7 linked regions of the Canis lupus familiaris genome follow. The protein of the gene in region 7 interacts with the protein of the main gene of each other region in a pairwise test. Links are inferred from orthologs where the notes say so. Each region holds a gene or a part of one and is shown on either strand. Other genes may lie near its edges. The genes, in order: DHX32, SSX2IP, CCDC136, CDR2, TRIM54, CCDC57 and FAM161A.

Region 1 (3,500 bases), on a different chromosome or scaffold from region 7:
AAGCACCAGAGAAGGGATGGAGGGCACGGATGACTAGGACAGATGCTCAGGCCCCTGGGGCTCCGGTCTGTGTAAGGAGACACTGCAGCAGAGGGTCCAGCTTCTCATCTGCGTGCACGACCTAACTTCTGTGACTCTGTTTCCTCATCTGTAAAATGGAGCAATTCAGAGCATTTAGCTCAGAGGGCTGCTGCAGCACTGAACCACTGCGTCTGCACAGGCCACAAGGACGCTACTGCTGTTCCCCCGGAGACGTATTTAAATGGACAAGAACAAGCAGAGCGTTTGCTGCTTTCAACCTTTCGTGGCCGCTGATTGCTAACATTTTAAACTCCAGAGCCAGCATCCCCCCGCCCCCCCGCCCCGACATCATAGGCAGAACGGAAGCCGTTTGCCCGCCAGGTAGGAGAAGCCAACTGGGAATGTGGGAGGCTGAGGGGAGCTGGTCCCGGCTCCCCTTCCCAGGCTGACCATGTGGCGTGGCCGCCCTGCACACCGCAGAGGCCACCTGTCCCTGCTTTCTCGGCCTTTCCACAGCACTCTGCTGGTGTTCCACGGGGCAGTTGCGGTCCCAGGGAGGGCAGCACTGGAGCGGAGACAGCCAGCACCTCCTGGGTGACAGGGGGCTTTTGTCAAGGGCCTGCCAGAGGCGTCATTCCCCTTGGAGGGTGATGGCCAGCCCGTAGCTAGAGTCTCGGTCCTAGGCTCCGGAACCTCACCCTCCGTGGAAATGCTAGACCTTAACTGTGAAGGAAGGAACTTCCAGGGGAGCTCCCCCGGGTGATGGTGCGGTGCAGGACAGCTGGCTGACTCACGTCCCACCGGGAAGCCTGGAGGCCACCAGAAGTCCCCTGCCCTCTGCAGCAGGCGGCCTCTGATGCCACACTCAGACCCGCTGGGTCTCTCAGGCCCAGCCCCCCAGGCTCCAGGGTCCAATGACAGATAATTCTCCAGGGTTGGGGCAGATGATTCTAGAGGCTTTTTAAAAAAGTCCTTCTAAGACTGTTTCCCTCTAATGGGAAAAATGCTTCAGTATGAACCAAACCCCGACGCTTGCTTGCTCCGCCAAGCGCCACCTGCTCTTCACACTGGGCTGGGCAGGAGGCGAGGCGGCACATCGGGGCCACGCGCTGGCCAACACACGAGCACAACGCTACCTGGTCTGTTCATGAAGTCGCAGTGGCCTAAGCCCGCGATGTCCACTCTCTTCATGAAGAGCACCATGCTGGTTAGGTTAGCTTCCTGCATTTCGGCTGGCTTTAGTGGCCGCATGTCTTTGGAGGCAAATTCCTCAGAGTACAGGCAGAAAAGTTTTCCTAGGAGAAACCAAGAAGAATGGTTTTAACGTCTCTAGGCTGCCTTCCCACAGGAATTGGCAGTGGTTTTCGTGACCGTGGTGCTACCTGAAGAAGATGAACCAAGAATCTGCTTGCGAATCTCTGCTTGGCTTTGGCTGATGGGCTGCGTGACAAGGGAGTTTGCTCTTATCCTAGGGTTGTACACCTTTAAATGGAAAGACAGGCTCTTTAGCATCAGATCACTCAAGATTTCACAGGCTCGATGGACCTGAGGGGACCGTGTGGGTCGGAGCACGTCACTTCTTGAAATGCTCTGCTATGGACTCATTCTCTCTGGACGACGCTTATTATTTCCCTTGCTGTGAGATAGAAACTGCTAGTGCCTTGATAAATGGATTTCAAGTTGTCTGCTTTCATTGGAGGTTCAATAAATATGGGACCTCTACACCTGTCCTGAAATGCTGGCAGTGTCATTTCTCAAAGCATGACACTGTGATGACGACAGATGGGCATACGCCACATATGCACCAGCATCATCATCTGCTGATGGGACTGTTCAAGGTTTTATTCAAATTGTGACCTCAGCGGTCTGACCTTGATAAGCTGAGCTTCTCCAGATATAATGGCTCAGACAAAGGCTGCATGTGGCACCAACAGTGATTTTTTTTTCTATTGAAAAAAAAAATTTCCTGTTGGTGGGGGAGAGGGGGTCGGGGGGAGTGCAAATAATATCCCTGGGTTTTCTGAATGGTAAGAATCCAAAGTGGCTCCAAGGGAACCTGCGGAATGGTTGGAATCACTCTGTAGCACTAAGACAGTAAGATACTAGGAGAGCCAGTTTCCTAAAGGAGAAAAGCTACGTGATCTCTAATAATGCGCAACGGGATCAATACTTGGGTAGGCTCTTTCAGTTCTTAAATGCTATGATTTCTTATGTTCCAGTGTCTTTGAGAGTTTGAGATATCCTACTTGCACTTTTCCTAATTTTATTTAAAGACAGTTATAAAAAAATATTTTTAAAAGCTTAGGATAGAATTTTATCAGGTCAACATTAAAGCAGAAACTTGGTAAATTAAAGGCTGTGTACTGGAAACTAATTTCTGGCAAATCACCTCGGGGAAGATGCTAATGATGTTGATAAAGGGGCTACCAAAAATACTCAGTAGATGTACACAGGGAAAGACTGGTTCAGGAGTCAAATAACTTGCCTTGCTATTATTTAATAATTATTTATTTAATTATTATTTAATTGCTTATTATTTAGCTTACGAAAAACCACTGACAAGGAGAACCACCACCTTTATGCTTTAGCAGTTGTGTCTTTTCTCAAAAGGTTTTCCTGTGGCACCGCAATCAACTTAGTTTGGGGATTACCTGTGTGCTAATGAAAGGCAGGAATGGGTAAACAAGACTGGCAATACTTTCCCTTTGCACACATGAGCATATCAGAGACTCCCCAGACCACATGCGTCACCCTCACTTCCCAGTGGATACAACTGCAGGAACCCAAGGACAATTATCAGCAGATGGTTTACCTGCTTGATAATAATTACCTTTCTCCTCTCCACACCCACATCGATAACAAATCTGACCGTATTGCTCCAGATCAAAGACTCTCCAGAGCTAGCAGTTAACACCACTCTTCTCTGATAAACTTGGCATCTTTTTTCTGTTTCATCATTTGGCTTGAACAATGCACATTTCTCTTTTGGATACAAAGGAACCACCACCAGCTCTCCAAGATCTGGGTTTAAGTTCGATCCTTCCTGGCAGACGATTTCATAGGCTTTCTCAATATCCTAAAGTAAAAAATAACGTCATTCATGAGAATAAACATGTCACAAACAACTCTGCTACTTAAAAAAAAAAAAAAAAAAAAAAGTCTAATTAAATAAAACCGTCGGCAAAAGCTGCAGAATGTATACATGGAAAGAAATACCTGTGTTGTTGTCTATGTGAATCATTATGTGAAAAGAAGATGTAACTGGATGAGAACATTTCTCTGGGGAAGTTAAATATAATTTATAAACAATTTCATTGGGGATCCCTGGGTGGCGCAGTGGTTTAGCGCCTGCCTTTGGCCCAGGGCGCGATCCTGGAGACCCAGGATCGAGTCCCACGTCAGGCTCCCGGTGCATGGAGCCTGCTTCTCCCTCTGCCTGTGTCTCTGCCTCTCTCTCTCTGTGACTATCATAAATAAAT
Region 2 (2,329 bases), on a different chromosome or scaffold from region 7:
GGGCAGGCGCTCAAGTTTTCTGGTAGTTCTGGGCAAGAACCTGGGCCTACATTTATCATCATCAATAACAACATGAAGAAACATGCCATTGGGTCTGAAACCGAGATGACACGAGTTTGTCCAGGAGAATATTTGGATAACATCTGATGCTTTTTACACTTTGTCAGATTTCTTTATCATTAGTCGCAAACACCCCATTGGAAAATTGTTACAAAATTATTGGCAACTATACCAAGCCCAAGCTGGTAGAGATGTTGTGGTATCGGTTCCCGTCTAGTAAAGAAAATATCACCACTCAGCTATCTTAAATATCTTTTATCATCCCAAATATCTGAAACCAATATTCTTAGTTTTATTCAAAGGTACTTTTGTTATCTTACCTCTACTACCCTATCATCAAAAGTCCTTTGAAAAATTGTGATAGCCTACATACATAAATCTTCTGCTGTAGAAATCTCAAAAATGCAATGTCAGTAGTGATAATCATCTAAAGAAGTCAGTTTCATGGAACAGCTTTTGAGTATTTATTGCTCAGATGCATTCAAAAAATTCTTAAACATAATGTGGTAATGGCTCTAATACATCTGTAAACAGAATACCACTAAAAAATTTTATTGGCATGAAATACTATAATTATGGACGTGTAAAATTTTTAAATCTTAAAGCCTCTTAACATAATCATGTATATCTATGTACAAAACATACATAAATTTCACTTTATTTAAAACATATGAAAGAGGAAATTTCAAATCACACTAAACATAATAAATATAGAACTTGCTTTGTTAAAAATCTACAGTATACATTCAAGTAAAGGCTAAACTTTCAATGCCAACTATATATGAGACAAAATTAAACATTTACAATAATCAGTTTCCTAAAAGTGCTATTTTTAATACCTATAAGAGGAAACTCATTCTAGTGCTTCTGTTTCCATCCAAACATATACATTCCTTTATTCACAGAACCAGATGCTTCTGTTACTAAAAATACATATCCAAAGCTTTTATATCCTTTTTAATAGATTTAACATTTTAGCTCTTTGGGGGAGGAAAAGTCCAAACAAACAACTCAGACCATCTTAAATTATTAGAGATGATTGGCTTTATGACACACCCTGTCTCAACTTAGATGTGAAATCTGATGAACGTGTTAATGAAAACAATTCCAGTCCACACGTCTAAGGTAAGTCATCTTTTTCTACATGGGAGTTTGTGTAGGTCAAGGAGCATCCACTGTAGCACCCTTCCTGTGATCCAGGTCTTGATGCTGTGCTCCATTTCTGATTTGTACCTTCTCTGCCGACCTGATTTGGTTTAGTTTCTTCAGGAGTTATATTCAGTACATTGATGGAACTGCAGGGAAGAGAAAGATCGATCTTCATCATCATCTCCTCCTTTTATACTTAAGTTCTGCCTCAATATCTATATTTGAATTGTTCCCTTGCCCTATGCTAAGTAAAATTTTTTGAGGACACACTGATTAGGAACAAAGTAAGTATTTCAAAATGGCCTAATTTATCACTTTTATCATATCTATCCACCTAGTTATCTGTTTACCCATCTACTTATTTATCTCTTTGGGCTATTCTGAAGCTCTCTGCCCAACCCAAGCCTGTCAGATACAGAACATGAGGGCTTGGAAAGCTTGTGTCTCCCCATGTTCCCATCTTCCTGCCACTATTTTATAATTCTTTACTGTTTTCTTCTTTGCACATCCATTTGTTCATGCATGCTTTCCTCTACGCAGCCATTCACCCACACAGCTATTTAATGAGAGCCTGCAAAAGCATTAAAGAGTCCAGGTTCTGAGCCAGAGATGGTTTAGGCTCATCCCAGCTGGACCTGCTCAGCTCACTATGTCACTGTACTTCAGCCTCCTCAGTTGTAAAACGGAAATAATAGTATCTCTCTCATAGGGTTGGGTGGAACTGAGTTAACACACATTAAGCATTTACACCAATGCTCAATTAATTGTAAGTGTGAGAGAGCAACAATCTTAGTGTCTGAACCCAGACACAGCTGCTACTCTTTAATGACACAATCTGGGAGGTATGCTCTGCCACCAGCCTCAAAACAAAAAAATCTGGGGCGCCTGGGTGGCTCAGTTGGTTAAGTGTCTGCCTTTGGCTCAGATCATGATCTCAGGGTCCTGGGATCGAGCCCTGTGTTGGGCTCCCTGCTCAATGGGGAGTCTGCTTCTCCTTTTCCCTCGGCACGCCACCCCCTCATGCTTGCTCTCTCTCTCTCAAATAAATATAATCTTAAAAAAATCTGGTTAAATGATTACTTTCAAATCTAAGTAAACAAATGATACATTTTTATCTGCT
Region 3 (4,176 bases), on a different chromosome or scaffold from region 7:
CCTTTCTCATTTATTGTGTCAGATACTTTGTCAGATGCTAGACATACACAAATGACTAAAGTACTTCCCAATCTTCCAGAAGTTGGGCAGACACAAAAGTAAAAACCTGACCTTGACAAAGTGACAGGTGCTACCCCAGGAGTAAAGAGGACAGTGTGGAGCACAGCAGGCCTCTACTGGTCTAGGGGTGGGCATCAGGAGAGGCTGCCTAGAGGTGACTCCTGACTGAGGGTTGTAGAATAAGTAGGTATGTCTAGGCAAAGGAAGGCTTCTTTCCTGAAGAATACAGAGGGCTTGTGAACACAGACAATGCACGTCCATAACCTGGTGAGTGGATAGCCAAGAAAAGGGATTGGTGTGTGTCCCTGGCTCAGGAATCTCCTAACACTTTCCTCGATGCATTGGGACTGCCTGGTTCCCAAGTGTATCCACTTCTTTCCTGGGTGAGACCTGTAGAGACCTGAGAACGATTGCCTCCTCTGATCCCGCACCAGGTAGATGTGCCCTGAATGAACGATTACGTGAAACAAGCCCTCTGGGTTTCCACGTCTCCCTTGTATGAGAGTGAAAATCAGCAGTGCCCACTCGGAACAGGCTCCAGAGGCAGGGTGGGTGGAAGTCGTGCATCGCAGCTCCTTGGGTGTGGGGCCAGGGGGGAAGGCAGAGTGGTGGAGGGAAGAGGTCTTCAGGCAGTGAGGGCTGCGAGGGGCCAAGGCACCGCCCTCCCGAGGGGGTTCGGGCTCTGGCTTGGTTGGGGCGCGGGGAAAGCAGGGGGGTCAGGGCCCTGCGGGTCACAGATCTCGGCCTTGGCTTCCCTTCTCCTGCCTTGACGCGGTCAGTCCCGGGACGCAAGAGGCCACCGCGCGGGGGTGGGGGCTGCGGCCGGGGTCCGCGCTGCCTGCGGAGGTGGGGGACGCGGGCCCCGCTTGGCGGGCGTGTGTCCGCGCGTTTGGAGGAAACAGCAGCGGAGGATGCGTCCAGCTTTGTGCTCTTCCTGCCCCATCCCCGCGCGGGACGGGGCTCGTCTGACACTTGGCCCCGAGGGGTCTCCGCGCGCAGCCGGCCCGGGCGGGACCCTTCGCCGGAACCAGGCGACCTCGCGGCCACTCCGGGACGGCCTCACGCTCCGAGGGCGCCCCCGCCCCCGCCCCCGCCCCCGGCCCCCGGCCCTGGGGTGAGTCTGGGGCCGGGCTCCGTCGCCCCCCGCGCCCGCTCGCCGCCCGGGTCCCGGAGGGCGGTGGAGCGAGGGCTTCCGGGCGGGGGTGGCGTCAGGTGGCCCGGCCAGGCCCCGCCCCCTCGGCCCGCCCTCCCTCCCCTGCGCACCGGCTCCGGGTCCCCGGCCTGGCGGCTGCGGCGTCTCCTCCGGGCGGCGACGGCAGCGGCGGCGCGAGCGGCCATGGAGGCGGGCGCCGGGGCGGGCGCGGGCGCCGCGGGCTGGAGCTGCCCCGGCCCAGGTCAGAGCCGCCCCTCCCTCACCTCTCCGCCGCCACTCCTTCCTCTTCTCCATCTCTCCTCCCTCCAGACCCCCACGTCCTCGCTCTCCCCCCTCTCCCTCCGCCGCTCCCACCTTTCCGTCCTGTCTTCCTCCCTCATCCTGCCCCTCACCCCGGGCCCGGTCTCCATCTTTCCGGGCTGGGTCTTCCCCACACCGGTCGCATCATCCCCTGGCGGTCTCTCGCCCTGCACCCCTCCACCCCGTCGGTCCGGCCCTGGGCCCCAGACCCTGCGCCCCCTCCGGCCGAAGGCTCGGAGCGCAGGGCGAGGATGGGGTGGATGGGTCCAGGCAGAGAACGGAGCGGAGGGGAGCGGCCCCGGCCCGGAACCCCTTGCCCCACGCATCCCCCCGCCCCGCATCCCCTCCTTCCCCTCCTTGCACCACCTCACCCTCTCAGCCTCTCTGCCCTGGCTCTCGCCCGTCTCCCTTCACAGCTAAAGAGACTGTGCTGGGAGAGGAGCCTGGAACTGGGGATGCCGGGGAGGTTGGGCAGCGCAGGGCGGGATCCCCGCAGGCCCAGCTCGAGGGGCGGCTGAGGGAGGAAAGTCGCAGCCGGGGCCGCGTGAGCCGAGCACTTCCACCTGGATTAAAAACTCTGGGGCTCCAGAGGGCTAGAAGGCACGTCCCCCTCTCCCTCCTGTGCACCCCAGCCCCCAGCCCCCTTAGTAGCCCACCGTGCCTCCTCTCTTCCTACCCACAGGACCCACAGTGACCACTTTAGGCTCCTATGAAGCATCTGAGGGTTGTGAGAGGAAGAAAGGCCAACGCTGGGGGTCCCTGGAGCGGCGGGGGATGCAAGCTATGGAGGGTGAGTTTTCCCAAAGAGCTTTCTTTCTCTCCCCTCAGCCAACTTCCCTTCCTTCCTCCTTACCCCATCTGGTCCCCAGAGCTCCCAGCCAGGACAGAGCCCTTCCTGTAGCTCACCTGAGCCCCCTCTACCCTTCAGGTCTGAAATCTACCCCTCCTCAGGGCTCAGGCTTTGAGGGAGGTTCTGGGTGCCTCCCTTTGGGGCCCTAATCACCAGCTAACCAGGTTGTGTGTCCCGGGGGGAGCTGCCAGACAGAGAAAGAGGCCTCGTTGGACAGAGCTTTGAAGCAGGCCTTTCAGCAGGGGGTTTGTTCTCACTGCCACCCGACCCAGATCCCAAGCTGTCTCATATTTTTGAAAAGCAGGGAAGTGAGCATGTGAAGTGAGCATTGTCCTTCTGGTGCCACCACCACTAACTTTGAATGTAAGCCTTTGTGGCTTTGGTTCTCTTAGGATCCCTTACAGCCTGAAAGAATTGCCTGGGAGGGGGCAGGTGAGAAGGCCAACCTCCCAACACTCATGTATCCCCACCGCACCCATGTTACTTGACAGTTGCTGCCAACACCAGACTCCTGGAAGGATGCTGATCCGTTTCCCAGGACTCCCTGTGAAGTGTTCCCAGGTCTCCACGCACACTGTGTGGGCAACCCTGCTCCTTTAAGGGGGACAGATGACACAAGGGGTCCCAGATGGACCTTAGGCTGCTGTCATGAGACCAGGGATTCAGAATTGTAAAACAAAGCAAATAATCAGTATCCTGACAAAATGTCGCTATTTCAAGGAACTGCATTGCAGCAAAGGAGGGGGTACTCACCAACCAGAGGCTGGGGACCAGTGCACCCCAGTTTCCTGATGCATTAAAATGGTAGGCTTTTTTTTACACACAAGTACAGCCTTGGAACTGAAACCTGAAGTTTCCTTCAGGTTTGGGGAGGGAAGTTAGGAGGAGGGAACTCATAACACTTGAGGAAGGGAGAGGCCTCCTAACAGCAGAGAAAAGGAAGTGGACTCTGCAGAAAATTTCAGAACAGCCATGTGATAGAATACATTTGAAAGGGCCTCAGTATTGGTCCAGTAAAACATTTAAAATCACTTCATTCAGATGTTTTCTTTTTCTAACTACCGATAGGCAACCCTTTCTTATTCTGGAAAAGCTAATTTCTTCCAAGCCACCTGGATAATTTTTTAACTTTGGACAAACCCCAGACTTTAACTCTTGTCCCATTTGGCCTAAAGACACGGCCAGCATCTGAATCCTTTCTTGAGTACTTGTCCCACTATGCAGAGACCACCAGGACTGCAAGAAGCATGTATCCTTGTGCAAGCTCACATAGCTAACCAGCACCCAGCTGCTCAGTTTGCCCGAAGTCAGTAGCAAGAGGCCACCTGGTACAATACTGGTCCAGGAAGGGCCTGGGTGGGGATGGGCTACCTCCAAACTTGACCCTTACACCTGAGGACTCATCACCGAGTGCAGGTCCTGCCGAGGGGGCTCCTTGGGGGACACCAGGTGGCACTATTATACCATCTCTGCCCTGGGACAATGAGCAGAAGGGCCCTTGAAGGACTCTGGAAAAGAAGTTGCCTCTGACCCCCTGGTGGGATGGGTTTCTCTCCTAGGGGAAGTGTTACTCCCAGCTCTCTATGAGGAGGAAGAGGAAGAAGAAGAGGTGGAAGAAGAGGAAGAGCAAGTGCAGAAAGGTGGCAGTGTGGGCTCCCTGTCTGTTAGCAAGCACCGGGGTCTGAGCCTCACAGAGACAGAGCTGGAAGAGCTGCGGGCTCAGGTGCTACAGCTGGTGGCAGAGCTGGAGGAGACCCGGGAACTGGCAGGGCAGCATGAGGATGACTCCCTGGAGCTGCAGGGTGAGTGCCTG
Region 4 (4,217 bases), on a different chromosome or scaffold from region 7:
TATCTCTACCTGAATTTTGACAATTAGGGCTAAGTAAAGGCTGTAACGTAACCCAGTTTTCTTCTTTTTTTTTAACCTAGCAATAAAAAGTAATCAGTAACATTTTGCCTTTTGGTATAACCGAATTCAGAAGAAAAGGATTTGAGTTTACTGTTCCTCTTTTATTACTAATACCATTATTGCTTCTACGTTTATTGGTTGGCATTCTACTACTATAGGAGAGAGCACGGCTGTCTTTTATGAGCTGTATCTTGACCTTTCCGTCAAGGTCGAGAACATTTACCTTCCAATCACCCCATTTAGGAGTTTCTGAGTTTTGTCTGCGCGATGATGGTAAAGGCCGCTCCCTACGAGTAGCAATTAACTTTAACTTTAACCCCAAGGAAAGCGAAGTTCACTGCCCTGCTGGCCATCAAGTGCTGCATTCAGCTCCAGCTCCCTCCAGGTGCAACGTCACGACCCTGGGTACTACACCTGGCGGTCTATGAACCTTATAAAAATCGTGTACAAAAGTGCTTGCAATTTTTTTCCCCTAAGGAAATACCTTTAACTGCACCCTATCCCCCCTCCCCCCCAGACACTCAAATGGGAGCCCTTCATTTCAGGGGGAAGTGAGTACAACTCTCAAGGGTTTGGAGGTGAGCGCTCAATCAAGGAGAAGACAGCTAACAGCCCTAAACTACCGACCGATCCGTAACTTCCCAGCTCGAGGAGCACAGCTGGGGGGGGGGGGGGGTCCAAAGTCCAGAAGAGGCCAGCCGCGCAGCGGACCTCGGGCTCCCGGCACCCTTCGCGCCTCCGCTCGCACGAAGGGCGCCCACGACAGCCGCCCACGGCTCGGACGCGGGCCCCCGCCCCTGCAGCCCATTTAGGCTGCCCACTGGCTAACTGGCTGGCCGGACACCCACCACTGGCGCCGCGGAGGCCGCCAGCTCCACCGCCAGCACCCCAAACGCTGGCCCAGGAGCGACCCAACGCACAGGCGAGGGCGGGGCCCTCGGCCGCACCCCTTCGCCTTTCCCCCGCCTTCTTTGTTTCTTCCGGAGTCGCCATTGGCTGCTTGCCCGCGAGACCGGGCGACCCGCGGGCCTGCGGTGAGACGGGATTGGACGACGTCGCCGCCGCTCGACCGGCGGCCCGCTCGCGATTGGCCGAGGCGCCGCCGGGGGTTTGAATCGCGGCCCCGGCCGGGGAGGGTTCTGCCAAAGTGCCACGTTGGGCCCGGCTGCGGCGTGAGGAGCCGGTTCAGGGCGCCGGCCCGGGCGCTCGAGCCGGGGCTCCGGTCGTTGGGGCCGTTGGGCGGCTCGAGGCGGGCCGGGGAGCCGGTGCGCGGCGTGCGGGGCGGGTCGCCCGGCGGCAGCTCTGGTCAGGAGGCGCGGCGGAGCCTGGGCGGCGGCGCGTCCCGCCCGAGGGCGGCTCTGGCTGAGGGCGGAGGAGCCGGTGGAGCGCCCGGGGCAGCGGCTGAGGCGGGACGGCGGCGGCGGGGGCCGCTGCCCCCGGAAGAGCCGGCCGAGATGCTGGCGGAAAACCTAGTGGAGGAGTTTGAGATGAAGGAGGACGAGCCGTGGTACGACCACCAGGACCTCCAGCAAGGTGAGGGCGCGGTCACCCCCCCACACACACACTCCTCGGGAGGGCGGCCTGGCCGGGAGCCGCCCGGGCGCGAGACCGTTACGAAGTCGCCCCTGCCCGCGGCCGGGGGCCGCCAGGTGCGGGAAGGTCTGGCGCTCACCTGGCGTGGGGACCCGCCGCGCGCCCGGCCCGCCGGAGGCCGCTTCTGCGCAGTGATCCTCGCCACCCCTGCGTGTGGGCCGCGCTCTGTGGGGGGCGCTTCCCCGGGGGGACCCCGCGTAGCCCGCGTGGACGGGGAGCCGCCGCAGGTGGTCGGGGTCGCGGGGGGGGGGGGGTGCGGGGTGTGTGGCAGGAACCGTGCCGGGCCCGCCCACGTCAGCCGCCCCATCCGTTCCCCGGAGAGGAGCTTCTCTTCTCTTGCTCCCATTTCCCAGATGAGGAAAGCGAAGTTAAAAGGGCCAAATGACTTCGCTCGAGTCAAGTATGGGGGCGAGCATTTTTTGAACTCACACACTCAGAACGAGGAGTCATGGCCACTGCCCAGACCCTGTGTCTTCTTTATCACCGGTTTACAGCTTCTTCAGTTGGGTGTCAGAAAGTTGAAAAAAAAAAAAAAATTTTTTTTTTTTTGTTGCTTATGCATAGTTCAGATGCCAAGTGAAAGTGACTTGAGGCACTTTGCAGTTTGCGCTCTAGCTTTTATTTTATTATTATTTTTTGTAAGTTTAAAAACAGGCATTGGGATCTTGGCCTGCCTTGGATTTCTTGCCGAAAGTGTCTCCAGAGAAATCTTGGAGCAGCCTTCAGTTTGGAGCCAGTGCCCTCCCCTTTTTTTTTTTTTTTTCTTTTGGTATTAATAGCGGGAATGTGCAACTGGGGACACTTTTTGAGTGTGTGGGTTCTTAACACTGGTGTTCATTTGATCCTCTCATCAAGCTATATGAATCTAGTAGATTCTATTATTGGGGGATCTAGGGTTCCACTCCAAACTTCAGAGCAAACTTTCTTAGCCACTATACTGAACACTCCTTAGGAATTTTTTTCAGGCACCTTTGGTGTCTGCAGTTCTGGGTAAATCAACTTTTTTAGCTTTAAACGTGCACTGAAAATTAACATCTAATTGAGGTGACTATTAAATGACCATGGTGTTGGTTCATGCTAATCATTGAATGTGGGGTGGCAGGGAAGGATGTAGGCTTGAATGACTTGTACTTAGAAAACAAAACAACTCTTTTGGGGAAAGGTGGCTTCTGATATGCCGTGGACAGTCACTTAAACCAAAGTAGTTCACCATTTCACTTAAATAGCCCAAGCTGTTCAGTGGCTGCAGTGCAGTATTTCCCATCATGTTCTGAATGTCCATAGGCAAATTTGTCTTACATTTTAAGGAAGCTGTTTTCAAAACTGCTGCCCCTCTCCCCCATAAGGGGGATGCCTGGGTAGCTCAGCAGTTTAGTGCCTACCTTTGGCCTAGGACGTTATCCTGGAGACCCAGAATCGAGTCCTATGTCGGACTCCCTGCGTGGAGCCTGCTTCTTCCTCTGCCTGTGTCTCTGCCTCAGTCTCTGTGTCTCTCATGAATAAATTTTTTTTTTTTTTTTTTTTTTTTTTTTTTTTTTTAAAGGAAGGTGAGCTGGAACCCTCCCTTTTCTTATTTATTTTTTATTTTTATTTTTTTTAATTTTTATTTATTTATGATAGTCACACAGAGAGAGCGAGAGAGGCAGAGACACAGGCAGAGGGAGAAACAGGCTCCATGCACCGGGAGCCCGATGTGGGATTCGATCCCGGGTCTCCAGGATCGCGCCCTGGGCCAAAGGCAGGCGCTAAACCGCTGCGCCACCCAGGGATCCCTCTCATGAATAAATTAAATATTTTTTTTAATTCCCTATAAGGATTGATGGCCTAGTTTGATACATTCTCCAGGTTTAATGAGGCAACCACTGCACAATTGGAGCATTTTCCTACAATAAATTATGTAGTTTGTATAATCACAGCTAAATATTTTTCTTTAGCAAGCATAGATCTGTGCAGGCCCTCTCCCCTTTTTAAAAATCTAGCATACTTAGCACATAATAGAGGCTCAGTTTTAATACTTATTGAACTGAGTCGCTCACATGGGATTAGTGTTTTCATGGCTCCCTTCCATCAGGTGCTTTAGTCCACACTGCCCTTCCACCCTGTGGGAAGTTTTAGGAACAACCAGTCATAAGATTTCAGTCTATGGGAAACAAATGCAACATGTTGGCACTACATGTGGAATTCTTTAACCTCTTTAACAAAGCCATCGGATGTTCAAGTTTAATGAAACTTTAATGAGCACAGGTCTAAATCAACTTAATGTCACTTTGCATTTGGAATTTGTTCTCTACTTTTTGGAAGACTTTTACATCTGTTACCACAATTTGACTTTGACATAACCCTGTATGTCATAACCAAGTGTGTGGGTTAGGAATAGATGTGAAATTCCAACAATTATAACTTGTGGAATATAGCCTGTAGAAGAATGAAGTCTGCACTGTGAATAAAAGGATATCTTTGTCCCAGTTTTTAAAAATTATATGTTAAAAAATACCTAAACTTGGGCAGCCCCGGTGGCGCAGCGGTTTAGCGCCACCTGCAGCCCAGGGCGTGATCCTGGAGAC
Region 5 (4,257 bases), on a different chromosome or scaffold from region 7:
GCCGCGATAACCTCGACCCCGTCCCCTCTCCCCGGGCCCGGACGTGCGCGACTGGAAGTGACCCAGTCCCGCCAGATTAGAGCGGCCCAGGGATGCCCTGAGCACTCTGTGCGTCACCAGTTTTTAATAAAAGTGCTGAAGAGCCTTTGGCCTCGGTTGTGGGGCGCAGGGAACCACAGCAGGGTGGGAGCCCGTGGGAAAGTGCGACCTCCCAGGCCGGCGGGGGGGAACTAGATGCTGGCGCGAGGGCTCGGGCAGAAGGGCCTTCACCCGGGGTCCGCATCTCCATCGTTCCCCCAAGAACTCAGGTGCTGGTGCCGCCGCACCACCCCGACCCTTTTCCCTTGGCACTGAGCTCGCCAAACCGTGCTTGATACCAAGGAGATGCCCCGCAGGGGTCATTCCACTTCCGTCCCTCAAATGGGCCCGGATCCGGAGAAGGGCAGGATGGTGATGGGGTCACTCGGAAGCCGAGACTGAGAGTGAGCAGTGAAAGGAGCTGCGGGTCTGAACACATTAGCCCTTTATTGAGCCCCTCCCCCGCGGCTGGGCGCCGAGCTGGGTGGCGCAGCGGTCTCTGAGCAGGTCCTCCGCGACCCCAGCGCCAGGCCCCGGTGCGCGGGCTCCCCAACAGGGAGCAGCTCAGTGCCCGCCAGTGCCTGGGAAAGAAAGCTCGGTGGGCGGGCGTTCCAGAGGAACAAGGCAGCTCCGAACCCCAGCTCGCCCCTTCTCCCCCAGCCACGTGGCTTTCTCCTCTACCTCCCGACCCAACCTGGTCTCCCAAAGCCCCAGAGGAAAGGCTGGTGGGAAAGAGAGTGTACTTCTGCACGCGCGCTAGGGGGCGCCCCTCCCGCTGGGGGTGGGGAGGCCACCAAAGATCGCTGGTGCCGCAGGGCGGCCTCACTGCAGAGGGGCCCGGGGCGTCGAGCCAGCCCCGCCAGGCCCCTCGGGCCACACTCACCTTCCGGCCCATCCGGCCGCTCTTCCTCCGGCCCTGCGCTGCCCTCTTCCCCGTCCAATGCCACCTCCTCATCCTCTTCCTCCCCGGAAGCGCCTGTCCCCCAGGAAGACCCCGTGAGGTGGAGTCCCTGCTTCTCTGGCCGCGACCTCCCCCCCCCCCCCCCCCCGTCCCCCGTCCCCCGTCCCCCTTCCCCGCGTCGCCTCGGGACGCCCAGTCCCAGCGCCCGCCGCCCCCTCCCATCCTCACTCCCTCACCGGGCTGGAAGTCGATGGTCCTCAGCATTTCGGCCACGTGCTCCACGCTCACGGTGAACTGCTCCATGCTTTCATAGCCCGGTTCTGGCCGTCCTGCCAGCTCCACTTTCGACATTGTCCCGACCCTGCGGCGCGGCAGCCGCTCAGCTGGAGTCGCCGCAGCACCCTCAACCCGCTCTGCGGGGCAGCCGAGCCCAGGCAGCCCCTCTTTGCCTCTCCCGCTCCGCCTACTCACTTATTGATCAGCTCCTTGGCCTGCTGCAGGGAAGAAGGGAGGGTGAGCGTAAGCACCGCGCCAAGCGCTGGCAAAGTCCCATTGCTGGCGCCCACAGTCCTGCGCGGTAGGCGCGGATGCATATCCCGGGTCGTTGAGGAGAAAACAGACTCAGACTGGGTGACTTGCCCGAGGCCGTGGGGCAGTTGGCTGCCAGAGGTAAGACTGGAGCCCAGCCCTCCTGGTGCCAAGGCCCCCACTGCCGCCACTCTGCGGCCTCCCGCCCTCCCCCAGCGCCCACCTGGAGGTACAGCGCCATCTGTGGCTCCTCCATGGACTGGATGGCGGACTCCACGAGCTTAGAGGAGGCTTCTAGGTGGTCTCCATACTGGCGGATGAGGCCCCGGACGCGCTGCAGCTTCTCCTCCTGCTCGCGGGCCAGCGCCTGCAGCAGCTCGGCCTTGCGCTCCTCCAGCACGGAGCACAGGGCCTCGAACCTCTGGTTAAGCAGCTGCTTCTGCCTCCGGCTGTTGTCCTGAAAGAGCGGAGCAAGGATAAGATTTCTAGCTGGGAGAGCACGCACCTACTTGTCCCACTCCCCAGTAAACAGGCGGCACAGACAGGAAGGAAAGTACCCCACCCATAGCCACGGGCTGCTGATAACCCAGGTCTTTTCAGTAATACCAATTACAAGATTTTTAAAAATTGGGATATAATTGACTTTTAGCATTATATTAGTTTCAGATGTACAATGTAGTGAAATGTACATATTGTGAAATGATCATATTTGTACATATTGTGAAATGATCACAAGTCTAGTTATCTATCATTACATATAGTTACAATTTTTTTTCTTGTGAAAACTTGAGATTTTCTCTCTTTAGCAAATACAATATTTTAAAGGAGTTCGGAAGTATCTCTGGTCCTAGTTTTTACTTATATTATCTCATTTAATTCTCAAAAATATCCAGTGAGGTAGCCATCATATTATTATCATTATTTTATATGTTTAAAACAAAGCATAGAGAAGTGAAGTAACTGGACCAAAGTCACGGAGCTACCCTGGGAACTCAAACCTAGTAGCTTGGCTAAGCATATCCCACTAATTGTGATTCCCTCCTCCACCAGGAACCCAGAAATTTCCCCTCTCTCCCAACCCAGACTCACCTCGATGGTCTGGCACACTTCCTCCATCTGTGTGATCACTGCTTGCACACGGTCGTTGCCTGCCACCAGCATTGCGATGCCATCACTGAGCTCGCTCTGCCACACACACAGGCCAGCACTTAGAGCTGGAGGACCCTGTCTAGAGCTGTACCCTTCCCACCCCAGCCAGGGCTGCCTAGGAGAGGACTGTCCCTCCACTCCACCAGCAGTGTAGCTATTCCAGAGATCTAGTGGCTTGGTACTGTCCAAGAAGTGTGAAAGCACATTTGTGGATTCTGTAAGGAGATGGAAAGAGGAGGGCCTCCATCAACAAATGAGAAAGGGACAGACATTTGCCAAATATCCACCAATTGCCAGGCCCTGGACTAAATGCTTCGTCTGTAGATTCACGCCTTCCATCAATTCAGAAAAATTCTTCGTAATTATTCCTTAGGATACTATTACCTCATCTCCATTCTCTTTATTTGCTCATTCTGTGACTCTGAGGAGACATATGTGCTCATCCTTCTCCTCTCCCAGTGCTGCATCCTAGGCTACTTTTTCAGGCCTGCCTTCCTGTTTGCTAATTCTTTCTTCAGAGGAATCTGTCATTTAATTTACCCTTTGGATGTCTTATTTCAACAATCACATTTTCATTTTTAAAAGCTCTATTTGGCTCTTTGTTAAATCTGCATGTTTGGCAATCTATTATTGCTAAGGTTTTATTCCATCCTTTTAAGAAATCATTTTATGCACAGTAATTCCCAATTCTTTAATATTTCCAATATCTGAATTCCTCAGAGGTCTAATCTCTAATTTTGGTTTCTACCGACTTCACTCAGGTACACTTCTTTCTGTATCTTCACTTTTGAATTAATATTTTGTTGTTCTTAATCTAAGGAAACCCTAAGAGCCTAAATTGGGTGGGTTTCCTCCACGCAGATTCTGCATTTGCTTTTGTCAAAAGCCGGTGGCACATCTGACTACCTTAGTTCCTGAGATTCCAGTTTAACCCAAGATTTGTGGAGGTCTTCAGTTCAGGTGTCCACCTTTCAGGAGTCTGGAGGCATAGTCTCAGCTGTCTAGCTCAGGAATACTGCCAACATTTGTCCTCTGATATAATTTTTATTTCCCTTTTTTAAAAGATTCATTTTGTTCATGAGAGAGAGAGACTAGGGGGAGGGGCAGAGGGAGAGGATCTCAAAGTAGAGCATGGAGCCCAACATGCAGCTTGATCTCACAACCCTGAAATCATGACCTGATTTGAAATCAAGAGTCAGATGCTCAACCGACTGAGCCACACGGGTGCCCCACTGATATAGTTTTAAAATTATGTTTTATGTCAAATGTAGTTGTGTGGTAGTGAGAGGGCCTGGAGAGTATCTAGGCTGCCAAACTGAAGTTGCTTGTATCCATCTAATTGTATCCTTAAAATAACTTTACAAGTTGGCATTTTCACCCTCATTTTATAAGTGAGGAAAGTCAGGGTCAGAGAGGTCGAGTGACTTACCTAAGGTCACACTGAGTCATGCATAGAGCTGGGACTGTAGCCCTGATCTGCCAGCCTTTAAAACCAAGTGGAATGAGAGGCTGAAGTTGGAGACCCTGTTCACTGTCCCCAGCCCCACCATGCCTGCTCCCTCCACTGCTTGATACCTTCTGACGTTTGTAAATGGTGGGCA
Region 6 (3,500 bases), on a different chromosome or scaffold from region 7:
GTGGAGACCAGGTGATCTGGAGGTGGGGGTCCTGCTCCCCCTCCCTCCCCATACATCATCCCTGCCTGGCCGGCGTCTGCCCCCTAGTCCCCCAGGTAGACCCTCCGCTGGGCCAGCGCCCCAGCCAGGTTGAGGGGGCATCTGCGTGCGGCCGAGCAGGTGGGGGGCAGGGAGGTGCCCACATGGAGGGGTGAGCAGCCTGGCCCAGGGACTCCCGGGCACCGGGAACAGGGACCCGCGGCTGTGATCCTTCCTTGACCTGTGCCTTTGCATTTCCTGCACTTGCTGTAGCGTTTATATTCCAATGAAAACAAAGGCCGCGTCAGTGGGACAGAGCATGCGACAGGAGGAGACGAGGACACTTACCGGGGGCCTCAGCCGGGCAGTGGACACTGGGCTGAACGTCAGCGTAAGATGAGGACCTCTTTGCAGGATCTAAGACATCTTCTATTTGTTCCTCCAGGGTTTTAAGTTTATCCTTTAGATTTCGTATTTCCGTTTCAAGGACCATAACGTGATCTGCCCCCAAAAAAACCAGTAAATGCACAGGCACACACACGGACGCTCCCATCACCGTCACCTAGGTAGAGGCCCACTCGGGCTGGGGTGGCTGGCTTCCCTGCCCGCCCACCCATAATGCCCCCCCCCCGCCTGCGGCGAGGGCGCTCCCTAAGGAGGCAGACAGGCAGCACCCCCTCACCCCCACGCACTGGCGTCTGTGGGAGTGCACGGCGTCTCACGCGCGGGGCCGTGCTGCCTGGGGCCCTCTGCTCACGGCCACTCCTGGGCCACCAGTGGGGCCCCGCTCCGCCACAGCACAGGACACCCCGAGGAGAGGCTCAGCGTCCCCAGCCCCACACTGCCCGCCACTTGAACAGCGCCCAGCAGCTCCCCGGCCAGCGGGCTCCCGGCTGGAAGTGCCAAGGACGCAGCCCTTCGCTCTCCTCGTCCCCAACCAATAAAACGCTGTAACCCCTTTTGTGAACACGGACTCCACGAAACCTCTCTCGGGGGAAGGCTGCTGCCACACATTGATGTGATGTTTTAAAGCAGTTGTTCATTTACAGACTCCAAGTGAGCCCCTTTGGGACCCGTGGAGACCCACGTACCCCCAGCCCCTGCCCCCACCCTCGCCCTCACTCACCAGGAGCCTTCGCAGCTGCCTCTGGATGTGGCCGGGGCTCTTCTGGGCCGCCGGCCTGACCCCCTGACGGGGCAGGAGGAAGAACATGCTCACTCAGAGTCTCCATTTCTTTCCTCATCTCTGAAACAGCCCTTCGTAAGCTTGTGTTTTGCTCCTGGAGCCTCTGGATCTCATAGGACGGAAAACTTTCCTTGGTTTCTTCTTCACGATGCCTTAGGAGCACCTGGCACATACAAAAAAGAAAAGAAAAGAAAAAAAAAAAAAAAAAGAAAAGAAAAGAAAACGCTGACAGCTAGGAAGACACCTGTGGCATGCTGCCCATCCAGGGCTGGCCGCATCTGCACTCCCTCCCGTCTGCCCACCCGGCGGCAGGAAACTTCCACCTAAACTGACGGGGACAATGAAAACCTTCCCAGCAGGCGCTGGGAAGACGAGCCTACTGTTTGACAGGCAGCTTCCTTCTCAGCTACAGTGGCAGCTGGTGTGGAAAAGACAGGCAGGCAGAGTGCCCACAGGGAGGGCTGCTGCGTGTGTGTGACGGCGCGTCGCCATGGAAGACCGTCTGGCGGCTCCTCCAAGGATCAAACACAGAGTGACTCCCGACCCACACTCCGCTCCTGAGCATAAGCCCAAGAGAACCAAAAACAGATGGCCCCGGCAAAACCTGCACACGCGTGTTCACGGCAGCATTTTTCACAGGAGCCAAAATGTGCAAACACAACCATCCACCAATGGATGAATGAATTAAAAAAACGTGGCAAGATGGAGCAATGTTCAGCCATGAAGAGGAGTGAAGCCCTGACACACGCGATCCCCCAGGTGAACCGTGAAGACACGCTCCGTGGCCGTCAGAACCTGAGCACAGTTGCAACCACAAACACACTCAGGGAAAGGAAGGAAAATGGGCGTAAAAGCAAAAGAACAGAAAAGAATTTTATTTATCTTTTTAAAAGATCTATTTATTTCAGAGAGAGAGCCAGTGCATGGGGCGGGCGGGGGGAGAAGCAGACGCCCCTGAGCAGGGAGCCCCACGTGGGGACTCAATCCCAGGACCCGGGGTCAGGACCTGAGCCAAACGTAGATGCTCAATCACTGTGTCACCCAGGAGCCCCCAGAAGATAATTTTAGAAGAACCAGAATTTCTGGAGAAACGAGAAAGACATCATTTGAAATAATAAATTCACTGAGGATGGCCTGGGAGCAGACCAGAAGGTGCAGGAAGGAGGGAGAGACGGGAGCATCAACAGGCTCTGCGGAAGAAGTCCTTCAGTTACGACACGCTGACCACAGTACCTTCGGATTGATGAGAACAGAGGACCACAGATGCAAGAAGTCCACCAAACTCAAAGCAAGATAAACACAAAGAAAATCCCACCAAACAGCACGTCATCATCAAATTCCTAAAACAGATCAGAGATAGAAAATGCCCAAAAGCGATGAGAACACAGCACACTCGGCACGCACAGGCACAGATACCAGGTTTCTGCTGACTTCTCATGACAGCCACTGGAATCCATGGGACAGAGGGAGGGTGGGCGTGCGGCGTGCAGGAAGGGGACGCCCCACGGCCCCGCATCCACGCTCAGCGGTGGCGTCCTGAGGAAATGACAGCGACACAGGCTACGGCCCTGAGCACAGGGCTTCACCGCGGCAGGCCCGCTGCTGGCTGTCAACACCAGAAAGTCAGATGAGCTCCAAGAAACGAGGGTCTGCAGACCCGCTGGCAGGGAAACACGGCGCCTGAACAAGGGGGGCAGGGAGCGCAGCCCGGCAGACTGCCTGGTCCTGGTCTGAGCCCTAGGAGAGCCCCTGGCACAGACACGGGCCTGCAGGGTCCCCCTGACACACGGACATGGGACTGCAGGACCCTACTCCGTCCGGCATGGACACAGGCCTGTGGGGTCCCCTCCCCACATGGACACGTGCCTGCAGGGTCACCCCACACACACAGACACAGGCCTGCAGGGCCACAGCTGTGCTCACTGTGCGAGGGGGCCGCCGCCCCAGTACCGCCCAGTCTGCAGCCCCCGGTTCCCTGCAGCCCCAGTGGCGCTCCAGCCAGTCGGCGAGCTCCCGGGGACGCATGAGCATAGCCTGCGCACCAGGGTGGCAGGGGCTAGCCGAGCATCTCAGCGGCCGCCCGGAAGGGATGGGCTGTGCGGTGCGACACACAACCATTTACGTTGTGTTTTGAAGAATTACAATGATGTAAAAAACAGTCACTGCACAAGTGGAAAAACCTCCAAATCCGATAGCAAGACCTGACCTGCCCAGAGAGAGCACGTGCCTGGGAACATGGACGAGGTCCACACGGAGAGGCCACCAGAGCCGCAGGACAGCGCCCCGAAGGTCGGCC
Region 7 (4,139 bases):
CAGCTCATCTCTCCTACCTTGTCTCCTTCCCTGCCCTTCTCTCTCATCTCTTTTCTTTTCAGATCCTTAATCACACAAAACTCTTTCTCTTCCTATCTTAGGGCCGCTGCCTCTGCTGTTCCCTCAGCCTGGAATGTTTTTTCTACCCCTAGTCTTCAAATGGCTGCTTTTTCTTATCTACCAGGTATTGACTTAATTGTTTACTCATTTAAGTAGGTTCCTGACTACTTCTTTTTTTAATCACAGAAGCCTATTCATTTCTTTCCCAGCATTTCTCATCTTATAATCATTTGACTATTCATTTTGTATGTCTAACTTCCCCACCAGACTGGAAGCTTTGTGACGATGGGATCTGTCTGCTTCACTCACAAATGAATATTCAGTGACTAGCGCTTAATAACTCTTTGATATTTGTTACCCCATTAGGAAAGTCAGTGAGACTTTAACTGTGAATTCAAGAATATTGCTTTACGCATGCCATCATCAACCACATAGCAAGGCCTATGAAATGCTATCTCCAATGGAGGCTAGATTCAAGGAACATACCTCAGAGCTCAATATGGGCTCAGGATCCTTCAAGGTGTGTGTGGGAGGGGGATGGGGTTCACTGTGGCAAACCAAAGGAGTGAAAGGAGCCTAGTGGTTCTCTAACCAGTCTTTTTTTTTTTTTTTTTTTAAAGGCTAGGCATGGAGCCCAATGCATAGGCTTGAACTCACAATCCTGAGATGAAGAACCAGACACTTAACCAAACTTGCCACCCAAGCTCCGCTCTTATCAGTCTTGTGTGGTACTTATAGTATCCATGAGTTTACTACATTTTGTAGATGATAAAGTTGAAACAAATTAATCTTTAAAAAAACCAAGGTAGAGACTCAAGATGAACTGTGAAGACAAGCTTGGCTCCTGCACCCTTTCCTGCCTTTTCGGGGTTCCTTCTCCAACCGGTGCCCTCTGGCTATCAGGTCTACTGTGGCAGCTTATCCAGATTTGCTTTTGGATCCTCCAAGTGTATTAAACTCATAAGACTTAGCTCCCTTTTCTGTTTGGTAGTAATCTGTCCCTTTGAAACTAGCTTGTTGGATGAATCGATCTCTCCTAAGGCACTAAATTTCTGATACAGATTTGCAGTTTAGCAGGGCAGTCTGGAAGTATACCTGCTACTACAGAAATGACTGACTCCTCCAGCACAGTAAGCCAAAGGAGAATTTAATCTTTGGGGCAGTTGTTCAAATGACAGTCTCATTGGCAGTTATTATTATTATTATGAATTTATACAAAGTGTTCTGTAGATAATGCACACATTTTCTCCTTTGGTTCTCCTAATATCCCAGTAAGAGACACATTTATTAGAGTTCTTTTACATACAAGGAAACTGAGATTGAAGAAAGTTACATCTTAGTATCACCTCGCAAATGGCAGAGAATGGATCCTGTCCAGGATTCCCAATCCTCTTCCTCCACTCAAATCTTTTTCCTCTATCACTTTGCCTCCTTTGTTGGTTCTGAGATTTGTTTTGTGGGGAAGCTTTATTATGAATGAAACTGTTCCCAGGACTCTGACCTTGGTTCATGTTCAGGGTCTCAATGTACCTTACTCTGGATGACCTCGGGTAGTTTGTCCGCTGGTGAAATACTGACCATTGAAGGTGTTGCTACAGATTTTCTCCGTAAACACTTTTAGTGTTTAGGATAGAATTTTAGTGTTTAGGTTAGAATTCCAAAATACCAGTGATTTTTTTAGCCATAGACCATAATGGTTTGTATCTGAGATGCTCTGGACAAACGGTATTAAGAATCTTTAACTGGGGGTAAGGTTTATATCTGCACATGGCTAGCTAAAATTCAATGGTCCCATCTTTTAAGGGAACAGAGTAGATGGCAAACTCAGCCCTCTACCTGATGGGCAGGTGCTCACAACACATTTGACACTGAACATTGATCTGTCAAGGGGCTTTCTCACCCTGAAGAGTCGTTTAGGAAACTGGAACCTCAGTCATTTGTTTCTCTGGATGCTTAACGTTCATCTGTGTATGATGTGCCCCCCTGAACTCTTGAATGGGTTTAAACACCGCCTCTCCTGTACACTGTGAAGATGCACCAATTAAAAAAAAATAATAATAAAATTTTAAAAAATGCACCAATAACCAAGACTTTAAAGGGACAACAAAACACACCTGACAGCACAGCTGATTCGCCTGAGTTTTATGAGTCATGCACTATGGGGTACATCAGTTCTCCGCAAGTTGAAAAGAAAAAGCAGTAACTGCTTTTGCAAGTGCGACAGATGCTGGAGCAAGAGAAGTAAAGCTCTATACTTGATGCTCTCTAGAAATGGAGGCTCTCCAAGAAATCTTTTTTTTTTTTTTTGCAACGATCTCTTTGTGGAAAATTAAAAGATCTTCCAATCCAGCGCCCCGGTTCTGAGTACCTACCGTGGGGGTGCAGAGAAGGTGCGGACCGGGCCCACTGGGGGAGGGGGTTGGGCAGGGCGTCGCGCCTCCCGGCCGCGAGGCCGCCGCTCACCCAGCGGGACCCGAACCGCCCGCCAGCCAGCACCCGGCGCACACCCCGCCGCGGCCCGCGGCCGCCCCTGCATTACCCGCGCCTGCGCCCGCGGCGCCGCCTCCTCTCCGTCTTCCTCGTCCCTCAAGGCCGCGGCCGCCGCCGTCGCAGCCTCCGAGGGGTCTTCGCGTTGGGACTGGGCGGCCTGCGCTCCGGGGCTGGAATCTCCCGGGGACTGGAGGCGGGCGGCCGCCGGGGTCGCCGCTCGCTGCGAGGCTGCCATGGCCGCGCCGCCGAGGCCCGCGCTCGCCCGGGGCCGGGGAGCGGGCGCGGACTCCCGCCACCCGGCGGCTCCCGGCTGGGGCGGGCGGTTACCAAGGGCGCCGTAACCAGGGACGCTACAGGGGCCGCGAGGGGCCAAAAGGCCCCCGGACTCCCCTTCCGGCGGCGGGAAACCCGGGGCGGGCGCTTCCGGGAGGCGCGGCGCGAGGCTGAGCCTTCGGCCGGCTTAGAGGGTTGGCGGGCGGGAAGGGGCGCCTCTGCGCCAGCCTCCGCCTCGCCGCCCAGGTGCGCACTGCTCGCCTCGTACCGGCGAAACGACTCGCTTTGTAGGAAAAAACAATAGCGCGTTTTCATTCACTGAACTAACACGGTAGTGAAGGCGGCGGCGGAAAGCAGGCGATGCTGTCGCGCGGCGACCTCAGAGCAGCCGCGTGGTTCGCACCTGTTACCTGACACGGCTCCGCCGGAGCCCGAGAAGGGGGAGCAGAGGTACGTTCTGCTGATTGACCTGAGAGCTACCGGTCTTTTTTCTTCCTTTTTTTTCTTGGTTTGACCAATCAAAGCCCAGAGTTAGGTGGAGCCTGGCCCACCCACCAGTGATTGAAATTGCAGGTGCACGAAGCGGGCCTTTGCTGCAAGGGGCAAGGGTCCACCAACTTGGAACAGTAGCCGCAGACACATCCCACCTCCACCCCACCCCATCAGCAGCTCCCCACTCAAGATTTGGGCGTTTCAAGAGGCGGCTTCCCCCTGTCCCATGGGACTGCGGTGCAGCCTCAGCCACCTGCTACCTAAGTCCCTGCTGCCTCAGGCTGAGGCTGCCATCACCCTCTCCTCCCTATCCTTCAGCCTCGTCGTGCCCAGGAGCCCTAAGCTGCAGCATGTGCTGCATGTGCTGCATGTGCATGTGCTGCCTAGAACTTATCTCTGAGGTCTGAGCTCATTTTCTTTTTTTAAATCATTTTTTCTTTTCTAATCAAGCTTTACATCCATCATGGAGCTTGAACCAGGACTCTGAGATCAAGAGTCACACTCTCTACTGACTGAGCCAGCCAGGCACCTCTGAACTCTTCTTACCAAGCGTTTCTTGCATATGGAGCTGGAGTGTGAGTATCTGCAAAATCCCCCATTTCCCCACCTCCTTCAGGCTGTTCTTTGTTTTGGCTGAGACTTGCTTTGCATACTGGAACGGGTACTGGTTGGATTCTGAGCAGAAGCTAGAGCTAGAAGCTTATGAGGTATATGGATGCCATAAATATAGGGACTTCTAGTCATTCACATGCAGATGGTTCTGTGGCCACACGTGCCCCTCTTGGGGCCTGACCCCAAAACAGCAAGACAGACCTACATGCTGA

The links.
Region 1: the proteins of FAM161A (region 7) and DHX32 interact in binary tests that used the Homo sapiens proteins (3 or more experiments, as listed by UniProt). The two-hybrid records come from large-scale screens. The link is inferred for Canis lupus familiaris from reciprocal best matches to the Homo sapiens genes FAM161A and DHX32.
Region 2: the proteins of FAM161A (region 7) and SSX2IP interact in binary tests that used the Homo sapiens proteins (3 or more experiments, as listed by UniProt). The two-hybrid records come from large-scale screens. The link is inferred for Canis lupus familiaris from reciprocal best matches to the Homo sapiens genes FAM161A and SSX2IP.
Region 3: the proteins of FAM161A (region 7) and CCDC136 interact in binary tests that used the Homo sapiens proteins (3 or more experiments, as listed by UniProt). The two-hybrid records come from large-scale screens. The link is inferred for Canis lupus familiaris from reciprocal best matches to the Homo sapiens genes FAM161A and CCDC136.
Region 4: the proteins of FAM161A (region 7) and CDR2 interact in binary tests that used the Homo sapiens proteins (3 or more experiments, as listed by UniProt). The two-hybrid records come from large-scale screens. The link is inferred for Canis lupus familiaris from reciprocal best matches to the Homo sapiens genes FAM161A and CDR2.
Region 5: the proteins of FAM161A (region 7) and TRIM54 interact in binary tests that used the Homo sapiens proteins (3 or more experiments, as listed by UniProt). The two-hybrid records come from large-scale screens. The link is inferred for Canis lupus familiaris from reciprocal best matches to the Homo sapiens genes FAM161A and TRIM54.
Region 6: the proteins of FAM161A (region 7) and CCDC57 interact in binary tests that used the Homo sapiens proteins (3 or more experiments, as listed by UniProt). The two-hybrid records come from large-scale screens. The link is inferred for Canis lupus familiaris from reciprocal best matches to the Homo sapiens genes FAM161A and CCDC57.

The regions. Positions count from the first base shown.
Region 1 is NC_049249.1:35,375,324-35,378,823, forward strand, and holds part of DHX32 (putative pre-mRNA-splicing factor ATP-dependent RNA helicase DHX32), read right to left. Parts: intron 3,098-3,500; coding exon 2,852-3,097; intron 1,504-2,851; coding exon 1,404-1,503; intron 1,317-1,403; coding exon 1,158-1,316; intron 1-1,157.
Region 2 is NC_049227.1:63,807,022-63,809,350, reverse strand, and holds the end of SSX2IP (afadin- and alpha-actinin-binding protein), read right to left. Parts: intron 1,356-2,329; coding exon 1,181-1,355; 3' UTR 501-1,180; downstream 1-500. UniProt on the Homo sapiens protein: Belongs to an adhesion system, which plays a role in the organization of homotypic, interneuronal and heterotypic cell-cell adherens junctions (AJs).
Region 3 is NC_049235.1:7,706,669-7,710,844, reverse strand, and holds the start of CCDC136 (coiled-coil domain-containing protein 136), read left to right. Parts: upstream 1-1,376; 5' UTR 1,377-1,396; coding exon 1,397-1,454; intron 1,455-2,195; coding exon 2,196-2,303; intron 2,304-3,922; coding exon 3,923-4,165; intron 4,166-4,176. UniProt on the Homo sapiens protein: May play a role in acrosome formation in spermatogenesis and in fertilization.
Region 4 is NC_049227.1:23,520,492-23,524,708, forward strand, and holds the start of CDR2 (cerebellar degeneration-related protein 2), read left to right. Parts: upstream 1-1,417; 5' UTR 1,418-1,514; coding exon 1,515-1,593; intron 1,594-4,217.
Region 5 is NC_049238.1:21,340,359-21,344,615, reverse strand, and holds the end of TRIM54 (tripartite motif-containing protein 54), read right to left. Parts: coding exon 4,232-4,257; intron 2,693-4,231; coding exon 2,597-2,692; intron 1,965-2,596; coding exon 1,731-1,964; intron 1,474-1,730; coding exon 1,451-1,473; intron 1,341-1,450; coding exon 1,216-1,340; intron 1,055-1,215; coding exon 962-1,054; intron 660-961; coding exon 643-659; 3' UTR 501-642; downstream 1-500. UniProt on the Homo sapiens protein: May bind and stabilize microtubules during myotubes formation.
Region 6 is NC_049230.1:986,431-989,930, reverse strand, and holds part of CCDC57 (coiled-coil domain-containing protein 57), read right to left. Parts: intron 1,368-3,500; coding exon 1,145-1,367; intron 520-1,144; coding exon 367-519; intron 1-366. UniProt on the Homo sapiens protein: Pleiotropic regulator of centriole duplication, mitosis, and ciliogenesis. Critical interface between centrosome and microtubule-mediated cellular processes. Centriole duplication protein required for recruitment of CEP63, CEP152, and PLK4 to the centrosome.
Region 7 is NC_049231.1:63,129,068-63,133,206, forward strand, and holds the start of FAM161A (protein FAM161A), read right to left. Parts: upstream 2,801-4,139; 5' UTR 2,786-2,800; coding exon 2,600-2,785; intron 2,085-2,599; exon of another isoform or gene 1,961-2,084; intron 1-1,960. UniProt on the Homo sapiens protein: Involved in ciliogenesis.